Xenopus tropicalis: one gene and its partners. The protein of the gene in region 3 interacts with the protein of the main gene of each other region in a pairwise test. Links are inferred from orthologs where the notes say so. Each region holds a gene or a part of one and is shown on either strand. Other genes may lie near its edges.

What was found.
Region 1: the proteins of rnf5 (region 3) and abhd16a interact in binary tests that used the Homo sapiens proteins (3 or more experiments, as listed by UniProt). The link is inferred for Xenopus tropicalis from reciprocal best matches to the Homo sapiens genes RNF5 and ABHD16A.
Region 2: the proteins of rnf5 (region 3) and ube2w interact in binary tests that used the Homo sapiens proteins (3 or more experiments, as listed by UniProt). The link is inferred for Xenopus tropicalis from reciprocal best matches to the Homo sapiens genes RNF5 and UBE2W.
Region 4: the proteins of rnf5 (region 3) and insig2 interact in binary tests that used the Homo sapiens proteins (3 or more experiments, as listed by UniProt). The two-hybrid records come from large-scale screens. The link is inferred for Xenopus tropicalis from reciprocal best matches to the Homo sapiens genes RNF5 and INSIG2.

What each region holds. Positions count from the first base shown.
Region 1 is NC_030684.2:74,875,834-74,880,629, forward strand, and holds part of abhd16a (protein ABHD16A), read left to right. Parts: intron 1-65; coding exon 66-132; intron 133-1,599; coding exon 1,600-1,686; intron 1,687-2,088; coding exon 2,089-2,174; intron 2,175-4,796. UniProt on the Homo sapiens protein: Phosphatidylserine (PS) lipase that mediates the hydrolysis of phosphatidylserine to generate lysophosphatidylserine (LPS). LPS constitutes a class of signaling lipids that regulates immunological and neurological processes.
Region 2 is NC_030682.2:121,362,239-121,367,034, reverse strand, and holds part of ube2w (ubiquitin-conjugating enzyme E2 W), read left to right. Parts: intron 1-1,150; coding exon 1,151-1,253; intron 1,254-3,480; coding exon 3,481-3,636; intron 3,637-4,796. UniProt on the Homo sapiens protein: Accepts ubiquitin from the E1 complex and catalyzes its covalent attachment to other proteins.
Region 3 is NC_030684.2:73,546,440-73,551,894, reverse strand, and holds the start of rnf5 (E3 ubiquitin-protein ligase RNF5), read left to right. Parts: upstream 1-1,879; 5' UTR 1,880-1,892; coding exon 1,893-1,993; intron 1,994-3,614; coding exon 3,615-3,633; intron 3,634-5,455. Other genes in the region: agpat1 (1-acyl-sn-glycerol-3-phosphate acyltransferase alpha), read right to left, coding at 1,550-1,652. UniProt on the Homo sapiens protein: Membrane-bound E3 ubiquitin-protein ligase that mediates ubiquitination of target proteins. May function together with E2 ubiquitin-conjugating enzymes UBE2D1/UBCH5A and UBE2D2/UBC4.
Region 4 is NC_030685.2:90,826,371-90,831,166, forward strand, and holds part of insig2 (insulin-induced gene 2 protein), read right to left. Parts: intron 3,939-4,796; coding exon 3,772-3,938; intron 3,675-3,771; coding exon 3,575-3,674; intron 1-3,574. UniProt on the Homo sapiens protein: Oxysterol-binding protein that mediates feedback control of cholesterol synthesis by controlling both endoplasmic reticulum to Golgi transport of SCAP and degradation of HMGCR.

The DNA.
Region 1 (4,796 bases), about 1.3 Mb from region 3:
ATAAAAACACTTTTACATTAAAATAATGGTATTTTATGCTGTTGGGTTTTTTCTATCCCCATTAGGTTTCAGTCTTGTGGACCATTTCCTATTATTCATCCCCTCTTGCTATCTGCTATATGTACAGAAAAGGTATGGAATCTTGTCAACATGCAATCAATACAGTAATTAATATAGTTTGTGTTGTGTTCGCTGCCATAAAGGTGAAAAATTATCCACAAACTTTCTTAGCGTACACATATGGAAGCTGTTATTTGATGATGTGATTATACAATTTGTAATGATGGTGTTACTATTTTGCTGCAGATTTCTACAGAACTGCCACAGACAAAAAAGGTGTTGACTAGCAAAATTGCACAGCTCTTGGTTTTGCTTGGGTATACTGGGACACCATAATGCTTTGGCAGTTATCAGTAATGTGATTTAAATGGGTACCTGGGGTCCAGTGTATTGGTGTTAAATACATTTTTATTTTTTTTTTATTTTTTTTAAAAAGTAGGAAAAAATAATTATTCCATACTGGATACCCCATAATTCTCCAGATAAACAACAACAACAACACAGCAGTGCAACACACAGAATATTTATTGGCTACAGATCAAATTAAAAAAATTCAGTAAAAAATGCATACCATACCAAATGACCATAGTCACTTCCTAGTGCCACATGGCCCCCATGCTCCGCCCTACTTATACGTTTCCCACCATTGGGGGCTTCATCAGAGATATAGTCTGATATAGTGCAAAATGCATGCATATGGAAACAGAGCATAGGGGCCATGAGGCACTAGCAAATATCTTTGGTTTCTTTGGTATTGTAACCAATAAATGTTCTGTGTGTAGCACTGCTATATTAGCTGCTTTAGCGCTAAATTACATACACTGGATGTCTTTTTTTCTGTCTTTAAGTTGATTAATAATGACAGCCAGTTATCCATCCAACAGCTTTTCAAACCATCCTTCAAACAACTAACCATTAACTCTTTCATTGTACAGTCACTGTGAGCTCAGACTGATGTGCATAATGTCCCAAAGTTAATGCAATGTGACATGGAGTTTTTCAGGGGCTTAACCTTTCAGTTGCTGAAAAAAATCCCTACTACAGACTAACATTGCAATTACCTGACAATTGGTTATATCAGCAATTGTCAGGAGATTGTTGCTTATAAAGGGTGCACAGCTACTTTTTCGAACAACTGTCACCTAATAAGCACTGGCAGAAGTGCCTGACTTGTGATTATAGTGTAAGTAAGTGGGGTGTTGTTTTGGGTGCTTTAACACTGTATTTATGCTTGTTTGTATGACTTTCCCAATATTTTCCTTCTTAATACTAATTTTAACCTATTCAGTTGTCTTAACTACTGATTATGCACTCATTTTTTTAATTCTATTGGTACTGCTTTCTTGACATGCCATCTCTTATGTTCAGCTCTTCTGCCTCCTTTTCTGTACTTCCAGTCTTCTGAAAAAACATGTGTATGTAGAATGTTATTTAACTTTTTTGTTTAATTTTTGTTATTTCCCTTTACAAAAATGCCTGATGTAGTTAGATCTGTGCTTTTGATATCTCTGTGCTGACAATCATCTTTTTGGGTTTCAGGTTATCTGAACATGTCCCGATTGGTTCCCCTTGGACAATATGGTCTGACATTTCTACTTCTGCTGGCAGGGGTTGTGTGCTTGAGAGGTAAGGAAAACTATAGGACAAAGCATGATTAAAAAACAGAGCTACGTGTACTTACTATTTTACACACTGCTTTATAAGAATGCTGATCCTGCATTAGCAATTAAATTCTTCCCTTTAATGATGTATAAGACACTTATAGCTAGTTATATATAGATTGGTGGGGTTTAGCAACTTCATTGCTAAGCCTCATGTTTAGTAGTTTTACTAAATTATGACAGTGGATCTTAGTTTGATTTTATCTGCTGATGACCTCTTTATGAGTATGCAGTTCAGATGTGATCTGGCCATCAACATAACTGGACTGATTACGCATAAGGTTCTCATGTGGCCAAATGGCCCCAGTCAGATGATGTGGAAAAATGCAACTTATCACTTTTTACATTGTACTGTCTTTCCCTGCAGGTATTGGCAGATGGAGCAACCCTCATTATATTCAGTTTATTTACATTTTAGAGAGAACCAAGATAGAAAACAACCCAGAGAACAAAGTAAGGTGCTAGAGCATGCCTGTGTTGCATAGGTGCTTTTTCTGCCTGTATGCCATTTAATTACAACTGTAATTTCCAAGTTCCAGGTGCTGTGTTTTTTTAAATATGTGATACATAAGTATTATGGTGTGTGTGATGGGTGGAGACTGCAACTAAAAAAATGGGTTTGCAGTATTAACATAAGTGCCTTGATATTTGAGTAAGCATATCTGAGAGATTATGGTTTATTGTTACATATTTTTAAGAGGGAGTGGCTAATTCCTAAACCTCATTTCAACATAACTTTTTTCATACATTCTCTCTTGTTCTGCCTATGAATTGTGCTTATTAGGTGACAGTTGTTTGAAAAAGCAGTTGTGCAGCTTTTCATGCAACAATGTCCTGACAAGTGCTGTTGGGGGATTTTTCAGCAACTGAAATATTAAGCCCCTGAAAAAGCTCCATGTCACATTGCAAAGATGAAGCAAGGCAGGCATTATACGTTCACTAAGTATGCTAAGATACCAGGAGGGAGCTTCTAGGGCTCTTTACTCGGGTACAGTGGCTTGCAAAAGTATTCGGCCCCCTTGAAATTTTTTACATTTTGTCACATTACAGCCACAAACATGAATCAAATTTATTGGAATTCCACGTGAAAGACCAATACAAAGTGGTGTACACGTGAGAAGTGGAACGAAAATCATACATGATTCCAAACATTTTTTACAAATAAATAACTGCAAAGTGGGGTGTGCGTAATTATTCAGCCCCCTTTGGTCTGAGTGCAGTCAGTTGCCCATAGACATTGCCTGATGAGTGCTAATGACAGTACAAATACAGCTGCTCTGTGACGGCCTCAGAGGTTGTCTAAGAGAATATTGGGAGCAACAACACCATGAAGTCCAAAGAACACACCAGACAGGTCAGGGATAAAGTTATTGAGAAATTTAAAGCAGGCTTAGGCTACAAAAAGATTTCCAAAGCCTTGAACATCCCACGGAGCACTGTTCAAGCGATCATTTAGAAATGAAAGGAGTATGGCACAACTGCAAACCTACCAAGACAAGGCCGTCCACCTAAACTCACAGGCCGAACAAGGAGAGCGTTGATCAGAAATGCAGCCAAGAGGCCCATGGTGACTCTGGACGAGCTGCAGAGATCTACAGCTCAGGTGGGGGAATCTGTCCATAGGACAACTATTAGTCGTGTACTGCACAAAGTTGGCCTTTTATGGAAGAGTGGCAAGAAGAAAGCCATTGTTAACTGAAAACCATAAGAAGTCCCGTTTGCAGTTTGCCACAAGCCATGTGGGGGACACAGTAAACATGTGGAAGAAGGTGCTCTGGTCAGATGAGACCAAAATGGAACTTTTTGGCCAAAATGCAAAACACTATGTGTGGCGGAAAACTAACACTGCACATCACTCTGAACACACCATCCCCACTGTCACATATGGTGGTGGCAGCATCATGATCTGGGGGTGCTTCTCTTCAGCAGGGACAGGGAAGCTGGTCAGAGTTGATGGGAAGATGGATGGAGCCAAATACAGGGCAATCTTGGAAGAAAACCTCTTGGAGTCTGCAAAAGACTTGAGACTGGGGCGGAGGTTCACTTTCCAGCAGGACAACGACCCTAAACATAAAGCCAGGGCAACAATGGAATGGTTTAAAACAAAACATATCCATGTGTTAGAATGGCCCAGTCACAGTCCAGATCTAAATCCAATCGAGAATCTGTGGCAAGATCTGAAAACTGCTGTTCACAAACGTTGTCCATCTAATCTGACTGAGCTGGAGCTGTTTTGCAAAGAAGAATGGGCAAGGATTTCAGTCTCTAGATGTGCAAAGCTGGTAGAGACATACCCTAAAAGACTGGCAGCTGTAATTGCAGCAAAAGGTGGTTCTACAAAGTATTGACTCAGGGGGCTGAATAATTACGCACACCCCACTTTGCAGTTATTTATTTGTAAAAAATGTTTGGAATCGTATGATTTTCGTTCCACTTCTTACGTGTACACCACTTTGTATTGGTCTTTCACGTGGAATTCCAATAAAATTGATTCATGTTTGTGGCTGTAATGTGACAAAATGTGGAAAAGTTCAAGGGGGCCAAATACTTTTGAAAGCCACTGTATGTTAAAGCTTTCTGCAGAATAAATATAGCATTCTAGGTGGCTCTAATGTGGCTAATCTATTGGCAGTAAAATGCCGAAATGACTTTCCTTCTCCTTTTAATCAAGTAATTCAGAAATGTAGAACATGTTTATTTTTTCTTTGTAATAATAAAACAGTAACTTGTACTGTACTTGATTCCAACTAAGATAAAAATAATTCTTATTGAAGGCAAAACAATCCTGTTAAATTCATTTAATGTTTAAATTACCTTTTAGTAGATTTAAAGGACAATGAAAGGTTAATATAAATTAAAGTAAGTCTAAAGGCATTCTTTTTAAGTACTTACTGCATATCTAAATTCCCAGATCCCTGCTTGCTTCTCTGAGATATGGTGCTGGCAGGCTACAGCAGTGTGAAGACTACAGTGAGATCACTGAAATATCTCTGTCCTTCCTGTAGGCTGCCAGCGGCAGCCTTCCTATTCTCTGAGCATGTGTGTAACTTGATCCTGTCTGCTGTTCTGAGCTAC
Region 2 (4,796 bases), on a different chromosome or scaffold from region 3:
TGAACCCCTTAAACATAGCTTGTCAACAGCGCGCACAAGTTGGCCTAACAAGATTCAAGCTGGCAAGCTCCTATTGACAGCTTTGTAGGCCTGGATTATGCCTGTTACAGGGATGCTGAAGTTCTGGGGTGGTACAGTAAGTTTAGCATTTCTAGCCATATTTGTAACCAAATTAGTTCTCCAGCTTTGCATGTTTTTGGGGCCGTATTTCCAGCTTTTCTCTTTGTTATTCAAGATGACCCTTGTGCACCTTAATTTTTAAACAGATTCTGGCACATTGCAACCTATTCACCATTCTTTTCCTTGAGCCACTCCAGTGTTAACTGCCTTGTGTTTGGGATAATTATCCTGCTAAAAGATTAACTTTCTCCCAAGAATCCAATGTTAGCTGACTTAAACGGTTTTTTTTGACCCCATGTGTTTTATATTAAGAAAACATACTTTTCTGGTATTATTTTTACATAGTGAAGATAAATATTGAAATATTTGGCTTTGTGTGTGATCTTGTCTACACAGATCTAATGAACTTGCCATTAACTTAATTGTTATTTATATTGTATTTCCAATTTATGATTGAGCTGTGAAAAAAAGTGCAGTGATGCCATAAAAGTATCCAAATTTAATATCTTGCATTATAAACCTTTAATGAGCATGAGTAATGGATCTGTGTACATTGACTCCTTTTGTATCATGCCGTAATGCCCAGAGCCTGTTGCCTGGAGCTTGTTACTCCATAACACCCTGTGCTGAGCTAATATTTGCATGCATTGCCCAGGAGAAAAGTGAGCTGCCGCTCTCAGTATTTCCTCCAAGGTTGAGGCATTTATTTAGATTCAATACCTGACAATATTGTGTGCACAACAGTAGCCAATGATATATTAATATTATGTAGTGAAACCTGTGTGTTTGTCCATTCATTTACATGTAGGTTAAGAGGAAGGAGGGAAGATGTTTGGTCACTCCTGTTAGAGCAAGGTGCTCATTTCTGGAATTAGGAACACATCCCTGATCCCTTATTCACACTGGCCAACAGGGCAAGAGGGTTATAGTTTAATTTAAAGGGATTTCTGGTTTGTGTTGGGGTTGTATGTTTGGAAAACAATATTTTTTTTTACAGAACAATTAATATTTCCTATCCGTTTATTTTTAGGTGGATTGTAGATATGGAAGGAGCGCCTGGTACATTATATGAAGGAGAGAAATTCCAGCTTTTATTTAAGTTCAGCAGTCGATATCCTTTTGATTCCCCTCAGGTAATGTTTTTTTGAGCAAATCGTGTACCGTAAGTAAAAACAAAGAATTGCTCATATTCTGCCTTTGTGACTGCAGACCTACAGGATACATATGCCATATCCTAAAAATTTACCGTAAATTATTTAAACAGTATTTTTTTTGTAGGTAGGAAGCATATGTATTTTTTTGTATATACCCCCTCTAGTGATGTATGGGTTGTCCCCCAACACCCACAGGTTTACTCTTAGGTCAAGCAGGTTAGGGTTAAAATTTTCACAACTGTTATGGGTTCAGTAGGGTATGGGTCAGACCGGGGAAGTACACCCTTCCTTTGCTCCTAAGGTTTTCCTGTCTAAGGTGAGCACAGAAGTAGCGTAGAGAGTGAAAAGATGGTTATGGGTTGGGTTCAAGTCTTACAATGGCAATATTTTGTGGGTTAGGATTGGGTGCAACTTAAGCATTTGCGGGTTGAATTTTTCCTGACCCGCATATCACTTAACCTCGTCCCCTGTAAGCTCATTCTGTTGGGCTTATGTAAAAAATGGTGCATGAATAATATCTGAACTTGTGACGATAAATAGAAATGTATTATGGGGCTTGATGTCCCCCTGCTTTTCAGAGAATCTGTGCACCACCCACTATGGAAAGCAGAGGGACTTCAACAGTTACACTGGGAGCCTAGACCAGATAAAGAACTGCTCCCAGTGTTCACAGAGACAGACTATCATGAACTCCTTTCAGTTTGTGGAATCTGGTATGTCTGATGTCTGTGTAAAAAAATAAAATAAAAAAAATAATGGCATTTCAGAATGAGTAAATATCACTAAATCACAAAAATGTTTAACATACTCATAGTTTTTTAGTTTCTCTCAAGAAGCGGGAAAGTATGTAACTTAAATATTTTAGTCTTTTAATTTACATGTTTTACTAAGTTTGAAATGCAAGTATATGTGTGTATTTTATAACTGGTAGGTAGCGATACCTTTTTCTTAAAAACTTAGAATTCCTAGTGGGGTACATACTACTATCTAGGTAGATCTTACTTACTATCTAGTTACTTTCTGTGTGTGTACAATATTTTTTCTTGCTTATATTTGCTTCAAGAAAATATCTATATATAATATAAATCTAAAATATAATTTTATATAATATATATGCACTTGCACAAAAAAATAACTAATGAAACGTAGGGCCAGGGAATGTACATAAATCATTTGACTCCCCCCCCCCCCCCCCCCACTTTTTTTTCTGTGTTTAAGCTATTTAGAATATTGTATTTATTTCCATTGGACCTTTTGTACTTGGCAATAATATTGTATTTACCAAAGGAAGTAATACTAGTTGCTCCCAATGGCCTCCCAGAGACACGTTTTGGAAACACCGAGAGCCTCCTGCTAGCTAGCATTCAACATGGGGCTAACAAACAGTAAATCACAGCCCCTTTGGTTAGGCTTATTTTTATTTTACATGCCAAATTTTAGTATGCATCATTTGTAGTGTTGACAATTATCTGAACTTTATCAGCTCCAGGATCCAAGGTAATTAATTTTTTTTGTGGTTTGTAAATTAGCTACACATTAGAATCAGCCCTGCAAAGACCTAGTAACTGGAGAGGGTAAAGCCTGCTTACCTTTTAAACCTGTTAGGAACCAGACAAATTATTCCTGATGTTCAGTTGCAGTTTGTGTTACATACACAAGGAAGGCCCCCTGTAGATCTGTTTGCTCTAAATGGCACACATAGCACTTTCCTGACCCCTGTTATAAATCAAATGTAACAGGTCAACATCATTAACTGTAAGTTAGCCTCTGGGGAAGAATGGGCACTATAATGGTCAGACTGGATAGGCTAAATATGTTCAGAGTGAGTGCATACTCTTCAGTGCCGCCTGTTTCTTATTCAAGTGCATGGAACTGTGGGTGGCAGTCATGGGCACTTTTCAGCTAGCTAGAAATTACCCCTCATGTCATAAGTTACTATATTCTACTCATATATCCTAAACATTACATGAAAAACAATATTTGCAGTAATATATTATTTTTCATGTTTTGACCCTCTGCATTACTTTTAAATGTACATGCATCTAAAATAGGTATGGCCAACCTGTCCCCCCCTTTAAAATTAACTGATAGAATCCCACAGTAAACATGTGCCATCAGGGTGCTAGGTGCCAGACGTGATTATGATATATGCAGTATTAATAAGCCTGTTATATAACCTTACACCTTGCACATTTCCTCTTTTTAGGTTATGTTTACTGGTGACAACATCCCTGTTCATCCTCATGTATATAGCAACGGCCATATATGTTTATCAATATTAACCGAAGATTGGTCCCCAGCCCTGTCTGTTCAGTCTGTCTGTCTTAGCATTATCAGCATGCTTTCCAGCTGCAAAGAAAAGGTGAGTTTGCCAGCGGCACTGAATCTTTATAGATCATGAGTGAATAGATGGGCCTTTCATGTGTCTGCATGGACATCTGAAATGTATTTGTTTCTGAGAAATCTTGCATGCTAACTTAATATTGATAACTAGAACCAATCAATTCATGTCTCTTTAAATAAATCATTTTTAATGCCACCCAGAGCTTAAGACATTACAGGATGTTACTATTAAGACAAAATGTTAGGCACCCCCAATTGACTTAAATTGCTTACCTTTTACCCTGGGCTGGTGCCCCTGTTAGGAGAAAACAGCACCAGCCCAGGGTAGCTGCAGCGAGCGCTTCCTCCTTCCTGTATCGCTCACGCACGCGCATGCGCATTAGAGTGAAAAGCTGAACTTAAACAGAGAAGTCGGCTTTTCACTCTACTGCGCATGCGCCGGTCCTGGGGTCCCGGCAAAACGAAGCAGGAAGGAGGAAGCGCTCGCTACAGGTACCGGGGTACAAGGTAAGCGATTAAAGTCACTTGGGGGTGCCTAACATTTTGGCATCCCCAAGTGACTTAACCTTTCCTTGTCTTTTAAGGCTGTGATCCCCAACCTGTGGCTTGTGAGCAACATGTTGATGTTGATGTTGATGTTGCTTCCAATGGCCTCAAAGTTGGTGCCCATTTTTTAATTTCTGACTTGGAGGCATAAAGACCACGTGAACCAAGCCTCTAGTAGTCTGCCAGTCCACATTCGGCTCTTATTAACCAATTTGAGTCCTTATTGGTCACCTACTAGGAAAGTTTTTGTGCTTGAGTTGCTCCCCAGCTTGTTTTAATTGAAATTTTTCTCATGGGTAAAATAGGTTGGGGATCCCTGCCTTATGGTTTATAAATGAGACATGTCTTTATAGTAGAGTAATTTTGTAGGATGAGAGCTTTTGCACACAGTTACTAGTTTAACACTTATTTATGCAAAACATAATTCGAGGATTACAATTTTCCCTTGTATAAACCTGTATGACAAAGATGTGAGCTATTGTGGTTGGTAAAAGCTCTCTTTCCCTGGTAATTGAAAGTTAAAGATAAGTAAGTCTGTTTTAAAATCGCCTAAAATTACACTTTAAAGCCCCCAGAATAACCTTTCTCCCTGAACCCAGATTTTTTTGTTTCTCTATTACAAGCAGCTAAACT
Region 3 (5,455 bases):
TTTGAGAGCCACATTTTAATGCCATGTTGTGACAGAGCTTGTCAAATTATCACTTGATAAACTTGTTGCTTTTTCAGACAACCACTGCCTGACAAGAGCGCGCAAAATTCAGACAATTTCAATGCCAGTCTATGAGTTGTAGTTTTAAGGCACTATGATGCAGCATTTTTGTCTATTTAAAAACAAAGTGCACAGAGCCTGACCCTTGTACCACTACACTAAAAGCAATAGCATGTTTTTCTGCACTGCTTTTTTAAGCAATCCATAACTGTGGCAACAGATAGCCTAAGGTCACCCACCACTTGCCGTACTCTGTAATGCTTGACACATGCTTGCAGTAGAGCCATTCAGTCATTAAATATAAATTGGTGGGTGTCAATACCTGACTTTGGGGCTGCATTTTTGACCTGCTTCTAAATGTGGCACTCCTATAAGGTCCAGACTGGAATTCAAAATATGTATGGGAATTTAAACTACAGAGACGCCCAAACTGCTCCCAGAAAGCCCAATAGATAACGATGGTCTGTCACCTTGCAGCAGCTCTTCTGCCATTTGCCAGAATCCACAGATTGCCAGTCCTGGCCTGACTCTAAGTGCCACTACCCTAAAGGTGACCATACATGTTAAGATCCGCTCGCTTGGTGAGGTCGCCCGTTGTTCCTGCCCCTACACGGGCCGATAAGCTGCCGAATTGGTCTAAGGGACCGATATCGGCAGCTACAACCGGCCCGTGTATGGCCACCTTAAGAGTTGTTTCTGTATGGTTTCATTATACAGGAACCACTTATCTTCAGATTCTAAGTAACAAAAAATGTATTTATTACAGTAATACAGTAACCTTACTAAAGGAAAACACATGCATTTATTGTATCTATAGTTATTAAAACAAAAAACTGTCATCTACAAAATTATAGGAACTAAATATATGGCATTTTGTCCTGCATTCTTACTACTATTACTTACATTTAAAATATCTTAATCAGGGTTTATCAAACTTGTTCTCAGGGAACTAAGATTTAGCCTGGAAGTCAGGCTTGGTGTTGCTTCAAGAACTGGTTTAGAATAAATAATAATATATAAATTTGAATCAGTACTGCCTTTAGTAGGAAGAAAATTCACTAAAGGAAAAAACATAGAAAACCACCTCCCCCCACCAAAAAAAACCAGTCATCGATTTTGTTTTCCGACCTACAGTCTGAACGATGCTAAATATAACCAACAGAATCTTCCGTTTACAAAGTAAAAGCTATAAATATAATATAGGGCTGGGTGGAAGTATGTGTGTGTACTTAAGCGTTAATAGCACAGATACAAAGTTTGCTTGCAGATTTTGCCGGTGACAGGCCTCTAAACACATCACTTATGAAACTATCGCATAATATTGCACAAGTTTCAATAAAATATATTGTTATCCGGTAGTTTATAAAATACGTATCACTGCTGGTAACTCTACTCGAATAATTTTACCATAACAGTCTTCACCTCCGATTACAAATAAGGATTGTTCATTATTGCCTTCTTTTAACAAGGAATAAAGTTTTTAACCTACAACAAAAAAAAACCCTGTGGGCCCGGAACGTGTATTCCACTCCCGCACGAACGCAAGACGCCGCGTCATAACGGTTATCCGAGACAAGAGGTGTCGTCAGCATTTGAGTGACGGGAGTTACAACCAATCGATGTCACGTATTATCCTAGTATCACCAATCAGCATTTTGACTGCTTGACAGCTAACTAGAAAGTGCATAGCCAATAGGGGTGCATAATTGTGATGGAGAACTTGTCCACCCTATCACACACAAGATTTGTTTATCTTTGCGTCCAATACACTCTTTAACCTTTCCCGTGACGCTCCGCTAGTTGCACAGCTAGGTTCCGGTTGATCGGTTGCCATGGCGGCGGCTGCTGGCAGCCCCGGTGCGGCTTATGAGTGTAATATCTGCTTGGAGACAGCGCGGGAACCTGTTGTCAGCGTGTGTGGGCATTTGTACTGGTGAGTGGAATGTGATGTGTCTGCCCTGTAGGCAGGTCTCTGCTAAGCTTGTTAATTCTGCTTTGCTGAGACTGTGTCCTTCAGTGGGTATGTATTTAGTTTGCTGTAGGAATGCATTGTTAGGGGGTTCGGCTACGGTCAGAAAGCTATCAGTAAAGTACAAGACCGAAATATTCAGGAAAGCTTCACCCCAACTGAAACTGTTCCCCTATAAAGGACTCAAAGCATTGGATGAGGGGAAAGAATGAGGCCCAGAGTACTAGTTGGAATGTGTTGAATGCTCTTAGAACCATATCATGTGACCTGTAGCTACAGCATGTTAAAGGGTAACTAAAATGCAATATAAGTTGCATGTCATGAAAAACAAACCTTCTAAACGTATTAAAATTTGCCTCCATACAAAAACTATTTTTTTGCAATGAAAAAAGGAAAATTGTCTGCAATGATTTAAAAAAATAAAATAAAATAAAATAAAAATGGAGACCTTACTGTTACATTGTTTCAATGTTTTCTGTTTTTTTTTTTTTCTTGAAGCAGGAGTCTGATTATGATTGACAATCATGTTTAATACAGCTATTGGGTGGGGCTCCCATTGCCTGCCATAGAAGATGTATTTGAGTTAATTCTTTCATAAAAGCAGACTTAAGCACAAATAATTCATGTAGAGGATCAAGATTGTGTGCGAGTTGGTTATTTTGAAAGAGTGATTTCCTTTAGGCAATTGGAATGCATCCCCAATGATGAATTAGTCCTCACTGACTACTCCATGAACAAAAAAAACAGACTGAAGAGTAACTTAAATATTAAAGAAATAGTACAAAATATATTTTTTGACCAATCATATTTTCTTAAGATAAAGCTGATTTTTATTTTTGCATCAGTTCCCCTTTGACATTTTGTAATCTTGTTATAAGCAAATTTTAACAGGTTCTCTTGATGTATTTTCACTGTACCCTGCAATCTTCTATGTTTAACCCAATCTTACAGTGAATATATTAATCCTTTCACTTATTGAGCCCCTTTGATCCACGCCATGATTTGTGTTGTTGGATTAAACTGAAACCCTGGAACTGCAGATTCTACATTGCTGGTACATATGTGCCTGTGCCCTGTAGATGCTTGAAATTAAAGGTGACAATTAGAGGATCCTTTGATGCTTGTTCTAGAAAATCAATGTCTTCATAATTCTACAATTGAATTATAAACTAGGCTATATCTGCAAGCACAGCCATTTTAAGCACAAATATTCCAATAGAACCTGTAAGCACAGCTGGTACAATATTGTTTTTTGTCTTAGCCAAAGAAAGTGCATTTTGCTTTACATATTTCATTATATCATTAAAACTCACTTGGCTTAAGCCAGAAAACGCAAAGTATGTTCAGATTCATATGTTTAAAATGAATATTTTTTCACAAACGACCGCAAGGCTAAACAGATAATGTGTCCAAAGTATAAACACTGATTTGTTAGTGTAAACAGATTTTGTTTATATGTATTGTATGGAAGAGACGCTTGTAAAATGCCACTGCTTGTAGTTTCTGTATGTGTGTTTATATAACAACGCTGATCGTTAAAACTGCATTGTGTTCTGTATTCTGATGTTATGTTTGTGTTTTACAGCTGGCCTTGTCTGCATCAGGTATGTATTTATTAATAAAAAAGTAGAATGAGTTAAATTCTTCTTTAGCTTTGTAGCAGCAGCAGCTAGCAGTGCTAACGGTTTCATTCAGATCACATGTTCAGTGTTACAGAAATATTTATTTGTAATAAAAGCATAACATAGATAAACTACTGTAGTATACATGAAGGGTATTTTATTTGTTTGTAGTAGTTCAAACCGTTTGCATATTGACTGCAACCTGTTCATATAGTGAAAAGTATGTATGTATGTATGTATATCTTAATTTATAAAGCGCTACTTATGTATGCAGCGCTGTACAGTACAATACATTAATACAAACAGGGGATTATTAAATAATAGATAAATACAAAGTACAACAATAAATACAGATAGATACAAGATAAATACAGTTGCAATAAGTTAAGAGTCAAAGACACAAGAAGATGGAGGTCCCCGTAGAGCTTACAATCTATATGGGAGGGTAACTTACAGACACAAATAGGCAAATGCACTATAAGTGCTGTAGGTCACAGTGGGTGACACTACAATATAAGTGCTGATTCCCAGATCAGGTGCTGGGTGAGTGCTCCAAAAGGTAGTCTTTAAGTTTAATTTTAAAAAGACTGGGGGAGGATTCTCTTCGGAGGAAATCAGGGAGGGCATTCCAAATGTAAGGGGCAGCAAGGCAGAAAAGTTTAAGGCGGGAAACAGCAGTAGTAGTGGGGGGCGCAACCAAACGATCGCTCTGTGAGGAACGAAGGAGTCGGCCAGGAACATACAGAGACACAAGGGAAGAGATGTAGTGAGGAGCAGAGGAATGGAGGGCTTTGAAGGTTAAAGGAACAGTAACACCAAAAAATGAAAGAGCTTTAAAGTAATAAAAATATAATGCACTGTTGCCCTGCACTGGTAAAACTGGTGTGTTTGCTACAGTAACACTACTATAATTTATATAATAAGCTGCTGTGTAGCCATGGGGGGCAGCCATTCAAGCTGGAGAAAAGGCACAGGTTACATAGCAGATAACAGATAAGCTCTGTGGAATACAATAGTGTTTTATCTGTTATCTGCTATGTGCCTGTGCCTTTTCTCCTTTGAATGGCTACCTCCATGGCTACATAGCAACTTATTTATATAAATTATAGTAGACTTTCTGAAGTAAACACACAACTTTTACCAGTGCAGGGCAACAGCACATTATATTTTAGTTACTTTTATACACTTTGATTTTTTGGTGTTACTGTTCCTTTAAGAGAAGGAGTTTGTAAGATATTCTTTGTTTAACAGGAAGCCACGATAAGGACTTTAGCAGGGGAAGGGCCTGAACTCTCCTGGATGAGAGGAGGAGAATTCTGGCAGCAGTATTTAATATAGACTGTAGGGGGGAGAGATTGGAGTTAGGGAGGCCGGTTAGTAGCAGGTTACAGTAGTCAAATGAAAAGTGAAATAAAACACTTGCCCCACAGGAAGCAAAGGCTTGTGTATCTTTTAGGGCTCTGGTACACGGGGAGATTAGTCGCCCGCGACAAAACTCCCTGCTCGCGGGCGACTAATCTCCCCGAGTTGCCTTCCCCCTGCCATCCCACCGGCGTACGTGTAAGTCGCCGGCGGGATGGCAGACGCGGCAGCGCGATTTCGCACAAATCGGCGAAAAAGACTCGCGAGGCTTTTTCTGCGATTTTCCCCGTGTACCAGAGCCCTTATAGGTATTACCAGCTTCTAAACTTCCTGTGGCTTTCCTTACATTACAATTGGTGTTCTAAATGATCAGAACAGAGGGGAAGCCTTTAATCATATGACTTATTTAAACTTAAAAAAAACTGATTGACCCAGAGCCTTC
Region 4 (4,796 bases), on a different chromosome or scaffold from region 3:
CCTGATCTGTAACCCACCCATCCCATGCCAACACAGCTAGCACCATGCCAAGCCTCCTCAACCATTACCCTACAGCCCCCGCATCCTGATATGTAACCCACCATCCATGCCAACACAGCTAGCACCATGCCAAGCCTCCTCAACCAATACCCTACAGCCCCCGCATCCTGATATGTACCACCCATCCCAACACAGCTAGCACCATGCCAAGCCTCCTCAACCAATACCCTACAGCCCCCGCATCCTGATATGTACCCACCCATCCCAACACAGCTAGCACCATGCCAAGCCTCCTCAACCAATACCCTACAGCCCCCCATCCTGATATGTACCGCACCATCCCATGCCAACACAGCTAGCACCATGCAAAGCCTCCTCAACCAATACCCTACAGCCCCCCATCCTGATATGTACCCACCCATCCCAACACAGCTAGCACCATGCCAAGCCTCCTCAACCAATACCCTACAGCCCCCCCATCTGATATGTACCCACCCATCCATCCCAACACAGCTAGCACCATGCCAAGCCTCCTCAACCAATACCCTACAGCCCCCCCATCCTGATCTGTACCCACCCATCCCATGCCAACACAGCTAGCACCATGCCAAGCCTCCTCAACCAATTACCCTACAGCCCCCCCCCATCCTGATATGTACCCACCCATCCCATGCCAACACAGCTAGCACCATGCCAAGCCTCCTCAACCAATACCTACAGCCCCCCCCATCCTGATATGTACCCACCCATCCCAACACAGCTAGCACCCATGCCAAGCCTCCTCAACCAATACCCTGCAGCCCCCCCATCCTGATATGTACCCACCCATTCCCAACACAGCTAGCCACCATGCCAAGCCTCCTCAACCAATACCCTACAGCCCCCGCATCCTGATCTGTACCCACCCATCCCATGCCAACACAGCTAGCACCATGCCAAGCCTCCTCAACCAATACCCTACAGCCCCCGCATCCTGATCTGTACCCACCCATCCCATGCCAACACAGCTAGCACCATGCCAAGCCTCCTCAACCAATACCCTACAGCCCCCGCATCCTGATATGTACCCACCCATCCCATGCCAACACAGCTAGCACCATGCCAAGCCTCCTCAACCAATACCCTACAGCCCCCGCATCCTGATATGTAACCCACCCATCCCAACACAGCTAGCACCATGCCAAGCCTCCTCAACCAATACCCTTCAGCCCCCCCATCCTGATATGTACCCACCCATCCCATGCCAACACAGCTAGCACCATGCCAAGCTCCTCAACCAATACCCTACAGCCCCCCCCATCCTGATATGTACCCACCCATCCCATCCCAACACAGCTAGCACCATGCCAAGCCTCCTCAACCAATACCCTACAGCCCCCGCATCCTGATATGTACCCACCCATCCCAACACAGCTAGCACCATGCCAAGCCTCCTCAACCAATACCCTTCAGCCCCCCCATCCTGATATGTACCCACCCATCCCCTGCCAACACAGCTAGCACCATGCCAAGCCTCCTCAACCAATACCCTACAGCCCCCCCCCATCCTGATATGTACCCACCCATCCCAACACAGCTAGCACCATGCCAAGCCTCCTCAACCAATACCCTGCAGCCCCCCCATCCTGATATGTACCCACCCATCCCATGCCAACACAGCTAGCACCATGCCAAGCCTCCTCAACCAATACCCTACAGCCCCCGCATCCTGATCTGTACCCACCCATCCCATGCCAACACAGCTAGCACCATGCCAAGCCTCCTCAACCAATACCCTACAGCCCCCCCCATCCTGATATGTACCCACCCATCCCAACACAGCTAGCACCATGCCAAGCCTCCTCAACCAATACCCTACAGCCCCCGCATCCTGATATGTACCCACCCATCCCAACACAGCTAGCACCATGCCAAGCCTCCTCAACCAATACCCTACAGCCCCCGCATCCTGATATGTACCCACCCATCCCAACACAGCTAGCACCATGCCAAGCCTCCTCAACCAATACCCTACAGCCCCCCCATCCTGATATGTACCCACCCATCCCAACACAGCTAGCACCATGCCAAGCCTCCTCAACCAATACCCTACAGCCCCCCCATCCTGATATGTACCCACCCATCCCAACACAGCTAGCACCATGCCAAGCCTCCTCAACCAATACCCTTCAGCACCCCCATCCTGATATGTACCCACCCATCCCCTGCCAACACAGCTGGTGTCACACCCTCAGGGCCGTGAGTTCCCAGACATAGGGCAGGACCCAAAGAGCAAACAGTTGGTATCACAGGATGAGGCGTTTATTGGAGAAATGGCAAGTAGCCATCAGCAGGTTCCCATAAGCCAGTAGGTGGTAGCCAGCCTGCACTCTTGTTCCTTAGGGAGTAGGGAAATACACACAGTTGGGGGGAATCTTCTTGCCCCAGCTAAGGTAGATTCCAGGGGAACACAGGGGAGGGGGTCCTGCCGTAGCTAAGGTTACACCCCAGACAAAAGGCTCCTTGGAACTCTTGGCAGCCACCTTTGTAGCCAGAAAGGGAACAGCCCCTGTCGTAAAACCAAAACAGGATTTGACTCCTTCTGCCAACCCAAAGGCAGCTTCCAGAGGGGCCAATCATAGCTAATCCCACTGGGCCTATGGGAAGCCACCTAGTGAGCATGCCCAGTTCAGTCTTTTGCATTTACTAGACAGAGCACTGCTCTCACAAGGGGTAACTATGTGTATTGTGTCACTATGGGGTCTGGCTCTGTGTGCCCTCACAATAGGGGCAATTACATGGGGAGGGCCAGACAGAGCCGGCTGGATACACACAATACACACCTAGATGAGATTAACCTACACAATGCATTTGCTACAACAGGTAGGAGGGGGGCAGGGGGTACATTTCAGCATAAACAGAAATATCTCATGGTTTCATCCAACTTATACAGTTTGTTATGTCACAGCTAGCACCATGCCAAGCCTCCTCAACCAATACCCTACAGCCCCCCCCATCCTGATATGTACCCACCCATCCCATGCCAACACAGCTAGCACCATGCCAAGCCTCCTCAACCAATACCCTACAGCCCCCCCCCCCCATCCTGATATGTACCCACCATCCCCTGCCAACACAGCTAGCACCATGCCAAGCCTCCTCAACCAATACCCTACAGCCCCCCCATCCTGATATGTACCCACCCATCCCATGCCAACACAGCTAGCACCATGCCAAGCCTCCTCAAACCAATACCCTACAGCCCCCCCCATCCTGATATGTACCCACCCATCCCATGCCAACACAGCTAGCACCATGCCAAGCCTCCTCAACCAATACCCTACAGCCCCCCCCCATCCTGATATGTACCCACCCATCCCCTGCCAACACAGCTAGCACCATGCCAAGCCTCCTCAACCAATACCCTACAGCCCCCCCATCCTGATATGTACCCACCCATCCCATGCCAACAGAACAAGTACCAAGAATCCGACCCAGTGCACCCGCCCACCCACCATAAAGTTCTCTAAGTTTCAGCCCAGCAAGATGTGGGGGGGCCAGGACTAAGCCCCCCTGTACAGAGAGTGGTACGTACCATTTCCAGCTGCCGGCCAATGTTGCCCATAGTGATCCCCCCAGCAAAGAATATGCAGGGCAGCCAGGAGCGCACATACAGGAAATCGGGGGCCGTGTACCTGGGCACAACAAACACAGTGTCACACCCCAAGCAGCCAGTTGGGAGAGGGGCCCCTGGGGGGGGTCACAGTGGGAGGGGGGGGGCGCTGTACTCACTCATACACCCCATTGTACACCAGGAGCTGAGAGACGACTGTAGCAAAGAAAGAGATTCCAATTCCCAGGCCCAGGCCACTGCGAGAGCGGTCAAATGTCCACCACAGGCCGATGGAGAGAGCGGCCAGAGTGAGAGACAGCTGCGTGTTGTTGGCAAAGTCCACTTTCTGCACTGGAGTCAAGGAGAACCGACCCGCACTCTCGACTATTAAAGGGACAGTAACACCAATCCTTCCCACCATATGTATCACACACACGTTACCCTATTATACGATAATACTCCCCCCCCCTGGGGGCAAATGGCCTATATGTTAATAAAACTGTTAGAAGGGATATTTTTAAAGGACAAGTCAACCCAAACAAAACATTTTTGCCTAATAAAAGAAAACATGAATTTATAAAAAAAAAATTGTTAGACCTTTAAAAGTTATTAGTAAATGTAATTGCTATTCAAGAAGCATTTGCTGAACTCCTGGTTATGACTTTGAAACAATGTTTCAGGTCAGTCTCCCCCAGCGAGTCAGGTCTGTCAGGCTGCTGCCTTGTGTTACAGTGTTTCAGGGGTCAGTCTCCCCCAGCGAGTCAGGTCTGTCAGGCTGCTGCCCTGTGTTACAGTGTTTCAGGGGTCAGTCTCCCCCAGCGAGTCAGGTCTGTCAGGCTGCTGCCTTGTGTTACACTGTTTCAGGGGTCAGTCTCCCCCAGCGAGTCAGGTCTGTCAGGCTGCTGCCCTGTGTTACAGTGTTTCAGGGGTCAGTCTCCCCCAGCGAGTCAGGTCTGTCAGGCTGCTGCCCTTGTGTTACACTGTTTCAGGGGTCAGTCTCCCCCAGTGAGTCAGGTCTGTCAGGCTGCTGCCTTGTGTTACACTGTTTCAGGGGTCAGTCCTCCCCCAGCGAGTCAGGTCTGTCAGGCTGCTGCCTTGTGTTACAGTGTTTCAGGGGTCAGTCTCCCCCAGCGAGTCAGGTCTGTCAGGCTGCTGCCTTGTGTTACACTGTTTCAGGGGTCGGTCTCCCCCAGCGAGTCAGGTC